Linked DNA regions of Sus scrofa. The protein of the gene in region 1 interacts with the protein of each later gene in a pairwise test. Links are inferred from orthologs where the notes say so. Each region holds a gene or a part of one and is shown in the gene's direction. Other genes may lie near its edges.

Region 1 (3,904 bases):
AGAATTCGGTCACTGTACCAACACACGACATAGTCGGGTGGTCTGCTTCTCTAGGGTAATTTCATGGTCCTAAGGAAAGAATTTAACAGTTTATTTTCTGAAACTGGTTCAAGGAACATTCCTTAAGTGAAAAAATTCAATCAAGAATATTATTACTTACATTTTGAGGAAGGATTTTTTAAAGCAGAATTTCCATCTGTGATATATTTAAATTCTAGACCTCAGGCAGCAATTTCGGAAAAGGGCCTCCTTTACCCTTTATTAGATACAAACTAAATACTCCACTCTGAGTAGTGGGGCCTTACTTTGTCTCCCCACTCCTGTGAAATGTAAGACTTGCTTCCACCATTTCTGAAATTATGAGTGCTACTTTTTTTTTTTCTCGCAAACTCTGTTATGAAGGTAAACATATTTATTACAACTTCAATTTCTTGAATTATTTTCTAAGTACTTGCATCTAGTAGAAAAGGAGCATGGTGAACTGCCCAAAAAAGAAGCCTGCAGTCAATAAGTGGAAAGCTGTCAATACAGAAATACAATACTCTTGCTTGATTAGTTTTGATGCCTTAACAAAGCAGGTTTTGCTGTTTAGGACTGCTCAGCCATCTTGACTGAATACGTTCAGAGGGTAGTCCACGGCCGACCTGCTTATTGTCAAGGGACTTTAACACTGATTTCCAAGTTGACATACGAATCCCAACATATTTCACAACCGAGGCCTAACATGTTTAAGCTGTCAATAAAGACCAACACTTAGGAAACGCAAGGCACGCGCAAGTTTTATATGCACACTTTATAACGCATTCTTCCAGTCCTCAAAGAGGGGGGAGGTTCTATAGCCTAGAAGCTTAAAACTTTATTTCTTATTTTTCATGACCTGTAGCACGCGTTTAGCCTTTTTGGGTTGTGTTTGTATAAGGCTGTGGCCCACTCTTGAATGGCTGAAAGCAGACGTTTAACAGTACATGGTGGATTAGCTGCTCAGAGAAATGCCTTTTTAAAAAAGTAAAGTGAAAAATAGACAAAGAAATCTATAATCTTAGCAGTCTTTCATATTTGTTTTGATTGTTCTTGAACCAGCCCTGAGCCGGTGACAAGGATATTGAAAAGATGCACCTGAAACAGTATCTGCGGGCTGCTGCATTTGCCAACCGGCTTTATTGCTGCTTTCCAGTGGCGAAGGCGCAGCAGCATTAACAGGGAAGCCAGAGCGAGCCTCCCCGGCAGCGGCGGCGGCGGCGGCACAGGCACCAGCGCAGTTTCCCCCTCTCCCCAGCCCTGACTCTACGCGCACATGCGCACTGCGCCCGCAGCCCTGGACCATTTGTCAGGACTACTCGTGAGACGGAGAAAAAAAAAAGAGAAAATTTGGGGGTAAGAAGCGGTTGATCGGATCTAATCTCTAATTAATATGAAGATTTGTCCGTGCAAAAGCCATTCATTTATTTTTCTGGGGGAGGATGAAAGTTAAGAGACCTATAGAGAGAAGGAAGCGCACCCTCGTCTTGTGAAACAGATCAGGGGAGGGGAAAGGACAGAAGGGGTTTCTCCCCCACTTCTCTGCGCCTCTGGGAAAGAGGAGAAAACTTAATCCCGGGGAAAAAAGTGGGCAAGTGACTCGGAAACGGCTGGAGGGGGAGTCTCTGGGCATCTCACTCTTAAGTAGTGAGTGCGAGTGTGAAAGAGGAACAAAAGAGAGAGAAAAGAGAAAGGAAAAAATGGGGGGAGGAGAGACTTGTATTTTTTCCTTTGCGCGCACACGGGGAAGGGTGTGGGGGGCCGTGCGGAAGGGAGCCGGGGCGAGGCGGCCGCGTCGGGCTCTCGCCCGCGCGCAGGCGGCGGGATGCGTGTGGGCCCCCTCCCCCGCGCCCCCCGAGCTTGTCACTTTGGTCGCTTTCATGACACCGGGCGCGGGGTGGGGGAGCGCGGCGGCGCCGGGCTCCGCCGGGGTGCGTGCCCGAGTGGGCGCCGCGGAGCCGCAGCCCGGGCGGCGAGCGCGGCGGCCCAGGCGGGGGGCGCTGCCGGGGGTGGGGGGAGCGCGGGGGCGGCCGGGGCCGCGGATCGGTGCGGCGGGAGGCGCGAGCCCCGCGCGCCGCCCCTGCGGCCCCCTCCGCCCGTGTGGCCTTTGTGCCGGGCGCGCACCGGAGAGCGGGCGAGCGAGCGCGAGAAGTACAAGTACGGGAGACCGAGGCAGTGGGAAAAGAGGCCGGGCCACTTTCTCCCCGCTCTGGCTGCGGAGAATGGACTGGTTGAATGTGCAGGCGCGTCTCCCCGGCGTGTGCTGTGTGTGTGTGTGCGCGGCGGAAAGGCCTCCCCGACTCCCACCGCGCACACGCACACTCACACGCACGCACACACTCACGGACCCGCGGCGGGCTCGGCGGCCGAGAGTTTGCGTTTTCTTCCTCGCCGCCTCCCCCTTCCCGACCGACTGTGTGAGAATTTCATATAGATCAGCTCCAATTTCCGCCATTTTGGGAAAGTTGCACAAAAATAAACCCTCCGGTTTATTTCTGCCCGAGGCAGGAAAGTGCTTCGGGAAGCGAGGCGGCGCGGGCCCGCCGCGGCCGTCCGCGCCGAGGAGGGCGCGGGCCGCGGGCCGGGCCGGGAGCCCGCGCCGTCGCGGCGTTCGCCCCGCGCCGTGCCGCGCAGCGCCGGCCCGGGTGCGGGCGCGGGCGTGTGTCGGGAGGCGGCGGCCGCGGCGGCGGTAGCGGCGGGCGGCGGCGGCGGCGGCGGCAGCCGCGCCGGGGCGGCGGGCGGAGGTGGTGAAGGCGCGGGGCTGCTTTTCCTGCAACTTGTTTACGCCGTCCTTATACTGGGGAGGCAAAGAGGGGTCCGAGGCGGGGCCGCCGCCCGCCTCGCGCCGCGTGCGTGTGCCATTCCGGAATAATGGGTTTTGCACACTAGCGTCCTGGGCCCGGCGGGCCGTCCTCGCGCCGCGGCGGCCGGGCGGGGGGAAGTAGAGGCCGGCGGGGGTGGGGATCGGGAAGCGCAGGAGCCGAGGCATCCGCCGCGCGCCCCGCGAGCTGGTGGGGGGTGGAGAGGGAGGAAAACTTGTGAGCCCTGGGCGCGGGGGAGGGGGGCACGGTGGCACGGGCGGGGGGAGGGCGCAACTTTTGTGCTGGTGGTAAAACTTTAATTACCTTGAAAGAAAAGGGCCCTCCGGTCTCCCCCACCCCTTCTGGTCAAAGCCCGGCCCTAGCGCGACCGTGAGAGAAAGTTTAAAACCGGGCAGTTTCCTCCCCGCCTTCCCCGCGAAGGGGTGGGGGTATCTGTTTGTCCGTCTGCGCTCGGAGAGAGGTGGGGGTAAGGAACCGCCCTTCGGGGTCGCGGAGACCGCGGCTCTTACCCCACCCTTCCACGGGGAGACGAAGGTAAACGTCGCTTCGGTTTCCCTCCTACCTCCCCCCCTCCCCGCTTCCTTTTCCTCCCCCTCCCCGCCGATTTTTTTGAGGGGACCCAAAAAACGGAGTCTCTTTCCTTATGCAACTTCCTCGGGCGCTGTGAGCACGGCCCTTCCCCCTCCCTGCATCCCTCGGCCCGCTCCTTTACCACCTCGGGTCTACCGCCGGAAAAATGCATTAGAGCTCATTCAGAGTGCCTAAGAAACAAAAATAGATTTTTGATTGCTCTAAGTTAAGAGAAACTGAGATGAGAAATAAGAATGGGGCGGGGGGAGAGGCTGGGACGAGTGCGTCGAATTTTAATTTTGGTTTTCCTAGAGCGTTGTTTGGAATAGCTTTATTAGTGTGGGGAGCCCGAGAGCCTCTGTACTGGCGAGCTCGGTCGCGTGGATTTTTGCGCAAGTTTTTAGAAAAACACTGACTCGAGTAGAGCATTTCTCCGGAAAGTTTCAAGTGCAGCAAAATAGCGAACGTACAAAACTGGCCAAGGGGAGACCTCT
Region 2 (3,804 bases), on another chromosome or scaffold:
GATTCCATCCTATACATTTTTATTCATGGATATGGTTCTTGAACACTTTTGTTTGTTTGTTTGTTTGTTTTGCCCTTTTTGTCTTTTTCTAGGGCTGCACCTGCAGCATGTGGAGGTTCCCAGGCTAGGGGTCCAATCGGAGCTGTAGCCGCCAGCCTACCCCACAGCCACAGCAATGCCAGATCCCAGCTGAGTCTGCAACCTACACCACAGCTCACAGCAACACTGGATCCCCAACCCACTGAGCGAGGCCAGGGATTGAACCCGCAACCTCATGGTTCCTAGTTGGATTCGTTAACCACTGAGCCACGACAGGAACACTGGTTCTTGAACACTTTCAAAATGCTGTGTCTTTTCTGCATGTGTGGTGTCACACAGACTGCTCGGCAGGCTGCCTTTTCTGCTCGGCCACTGGTGTCTCTTGTGGCTCCCTGTTGACCCACGTGGACTGGGCGCAGTGGTTGGAACCGCCGACAGTAGCCTGTTGTGTGAGTGCACCTGGTGGTTCTGCCCTTTCCCCTCTGCCAGGCACCTGTGTTGTCACTGCCACAGGTCCTGAGGTCCCCTCCCTTGGTGCATCTCCCTCCCCTGCTGCACTCGGAGCTCCTCCAACAGAGCCCTCATCCAGCCCATCCCAGGGCCCAGCACTCAGCCCAGGGGTCCTGGGGTGGCCTCTGGAATGTTGCCAGACTGTCCCCGGCAGGGACCGAGTAACCTATAGCCCGGGGCTGTCACTGATAATCAGCCAGGTTTGCAACACGCTGCCAAGATCAGCAGCCTAAAAATAGCAGTTCTTACATAAGATGATGTGGACAGCACTTCTCTGGAGGCCTTGTGGTCTGAAAGGAGCCAACTGGTACGTGACCTGGGGCCAAGCACCCCTGTTGTGTGAGGCATCCGGCCCCCACGCCGGCCCCGCCTTGGCTTCCCACAGGTGGCCTGACTTACAGAACTGCCGTGTGGTGACCCAGAAACACCACGTGTCTGATCAGTGGGGCCGGAGGTGTGCTGTGCGCGCCTGTACACTTGTGTGCACGTGGTGGCGGTGGCAGTTGGTGTTGGCTCATCTGCTTCCTCTTCAGAGACAGGAGGGGGTGGCCCCTTCCTCCCACGGTGGGCCGGCCAGAGCTCTGGTTCATTCATTCACTAGCCACTCCTGAAGCCCCTCCTGTGTGCTCAGCACCTACTATGTGCTCGGTTCTAGGCACTGGGGGGGACACAGCAAGTGAACAAGAAAAGGCTCCTGCTCTGATGGAGCTTAGACCTGAGCGAGGGAAATAGAAAACACGCCAGCAAATGATGGCTAGACAAGAAAATATCAGGTGCTTGATAAGTCCCATGAAGAAAAGCAAAAAAAAGGTAGCATCTTGGAGATGAGGTCAGAAAATTTCTTAGGTAAAGACAGTGCGTATTTTAGGCTCCACGACCATGTGGTCTCTATCACAGTCTCAGCTCTGTCACTGCAACAGAAAAGGAGCACAGACCATTGTTAAATGCTGTGACTACATTCCAATAAAATTTTGTTCATAAAACCAGGCTGTGAGCCAGATTTGACCCTCAGGCCGTGATTTGCCAGCAGCCCTGTCCTGGGTTGGGGGAAAGCTGCCTGAGCTGGGGTTGGCAGACAGCCTCTTTCTTTTTTTTTTTTTTTTAATTTTATTTTATATTGAACTAGGTCGATTGGCAGTGTTGTGTTAATTTCAGGTGTACAGCAAAGTGATTCGGTTATACATATATAGCCATTCCTTCTCAGGTTCTTTTCTCATATAGGTGATTACAGAATATTGAGTAGAGTTCCCTGTGATATACAGCAGGTCCTTGTTGATCCAGAGAGACCCATTCTGAATGGAAGATGCTGTTACAGGCAAAATGTGGTGGCGCCTTGCTGTCAGTTCATGGGTGGAGCGGTGTGATTGGAAGTGGGAAGACTGGGGCTACGTGTGAGCAGTACAAATGATGGCGCTTGCTCCAGGGTTGAATGTTGGGGGTACAGGGAAGAGGTTCAAGGGTGAGTCCTAGATTTGGGGCTTCAACAACTAGGTGCATGGGGCTTCCTTTCTGGAAAAGAAGAGGCGCTGGAGGGAAAATCCACATTTGTGTGGGGTATGTGGAGTTTGAGGACCCTCCTGGATCAACAGGTGAGCAATCACAGGGGCAGCTCAGTGGAGAAGCTGGGACTGCAGGCGTGACCTGGGGAGCTGGCAGTGTTTGGGTGATCTTCAAAACTATGAGTCGGGTGAGTCACAGGGAGTGGGTGTGGACAGAGCACAGCAGGCCCAGGTGAGAACTGGGGCTGCCACCCTGAGCACTTGGCAGAGGAGGAAAGCGGCCTCATGCTCCTTGGGGGAAGGCACTGTGCAGCATGGTCTCCAGGGGTGCAAGCCCTGGGCTGCTCATTTACTAAAAAAGCCTCAGTTTCCCTCCTGTCATGGAGGGGAAAGGGGTTCTATCTCTTAGGGTTGGATTGGGGAATGTCTTTTTTTTTTTTTTTTTTTTTTTAGGGCCACACTTGCGGCATATGGAAGTTCCCAGACTAGGGGTCGAATTGGCGCTGTAGCTACTGGCCTACACCACAGCCACAGCAATGCCAGATCTGAGCCTCGTCTGCAATCTACATCACAGCTCACAGCAACACTGGATCCTTAACCCACTGAGCAAGGCCAGAGATCGAACCCGCAACCTCATGGTTCCTAAGCGGATTCGTTTCCGCTGCGCCATGATGGGAACTCCTGGACTGGGGAATGAATGAGATAGTCATTGGCTTGGAGGAAGCCCTCAGCAATGGTACCTGTGATGGTGGTGGTGACCCTTGGGCCCACGGGCTGAGTGAGTGGTTGCAGGGTCTCTAACGCTTTGTCTTGGTTAACAGGGGACTCAATGACAGGTTGGGGTGGCAGACACCCTGCCACCTGGCGCTCGCCATCCCCCTGGGGCAGGCCCAAAGTGCTAGTAGTTAGTGCTCCTGGGAGCCCCTGATGAGAGTCCAGGCTCAGTATCCTTGCCCCTTGGGTGGATGCTGTTGAGGCTTGTTCTACTCTGTCTTCCAATGCTCCCCAGCTCAGTGACACATCTACACCTGCCTTCCCATCCCTGGCTGGCTTTCACCACCTGCTCCTAACAGGACGGGGACATCCCTTTTTACCTCCTAGTAACTCCCTTGTCTAAGGGTCAGCTTCTGGGCAGCGAGTTTCCTTGGTTGCGTGGCCGCCTGGGCCTGCTGGGTCACAGTGGGGTAATAAGTGGGCTGTTTGGTGGATGGGTTATGAGCTGGGGGGTGGCAGGTGGCCTTGACCTCTGGCTATGCCTGGGCAAGCTGATGCCTGCTCTGCTGCTCCTCCCACAGCCGAGTGCCCGAAGATGGTTGACTACCTGGCAAACACCGAGATCAACAGCCAGCGCATCGCAGCGGTTGAGAGCTGCTTCGGGGCATCAGGGCAGCCGCTGGCCCTGCCGGGCCGGGTGCTGCTGGGCGAGGGCGTGCTGACCAAGGAGTGCCGAAAGAAGGCCAAACCGCGCATCTTCTTCCTCTTCAACGACATCCTGGTGTACGGCAGCATCGTGCTCAACAAGCGCAAGTACCGCAGCCAGCACATCATTCCGCTGGAGGAGGTGACGCTGGAGCCGCTGCCCGAGACCTTGCAGGCCAAGAACCGCTGGATGATCAAGACGGCCAAGAAGTCCTTCGTGGTATCGGCCGCCTCGGCCACGGAGCGCCAGGAGTGGATCAGCCACATCGAGGAGTGCGTGCGGCGGCAGCTGCTGGCCACCGGGCTCCAGCCCAGCACGGAGCACGCGGCACCCTGG

What was found.
Region 2: the proteins of L3MBTL3 (region 1) and PLEKHF1 interact in binary tests that used the Homo sapiens proteins (3 or more experiments, as listed by UniProt). The two-hybrid records come from large-scale screens. The link is inferred for Sus scrofa from reciprocal best matches to the Homo sapiens genes L3MBTL3 and PLEKHF1.

What each region holds. Positions count from the first base shown.
Region 1 is NC_010443.5:33,316,786-33,320,689, reverse strand, and holds the start of L3MBTL3 (lethal(3)malignant brain tumor-like protein 3), read left to right. Parts: upstream 1-1,212; 5' UTR 1,213-1,374; intron 1,375-1,643; exon of another isoform or gene 1,644-1,665; intron 1,666-2,058; exon of another isoform or gene 2,059-2,175; intron 2,176-2,221; exon of another isoform or gene 2,222-2,435; intron 2,436-2,742; exon of another isoform or gene 2,743-2,762; intron 2,763-3,123; exon of another isoform or gene 3,124-3,374; intron 3,375-3,904. UniProt on the Homo sapiens protein: Is a negative regulator of Notch target genes expression, required for RBPJ-mediated transcriptional repression. It recruits KDM1A to Notch-responsive elements and promotes KDM1A-mediated H3K4me demethylation.
Region 2 is NC_010448.4:39,792,641-39,796,444, forward strand, and holds part of PLEKHF1 (pleckstrin homology domain-containing family F member 1), read left to right. Parts: intron 1-3,343; 5' UTR 3,344-3,357; coding exon 3,358-3,804. UniProt on the Homo sapiens protein: May induce apoptosis through the lysosomal-mitochondrial pathway. Translocates to the lysosome initiating the permeabilization of lysosomal membrane (LMP) and resulting in the release of CTSD and CTSL to the cytoplasm.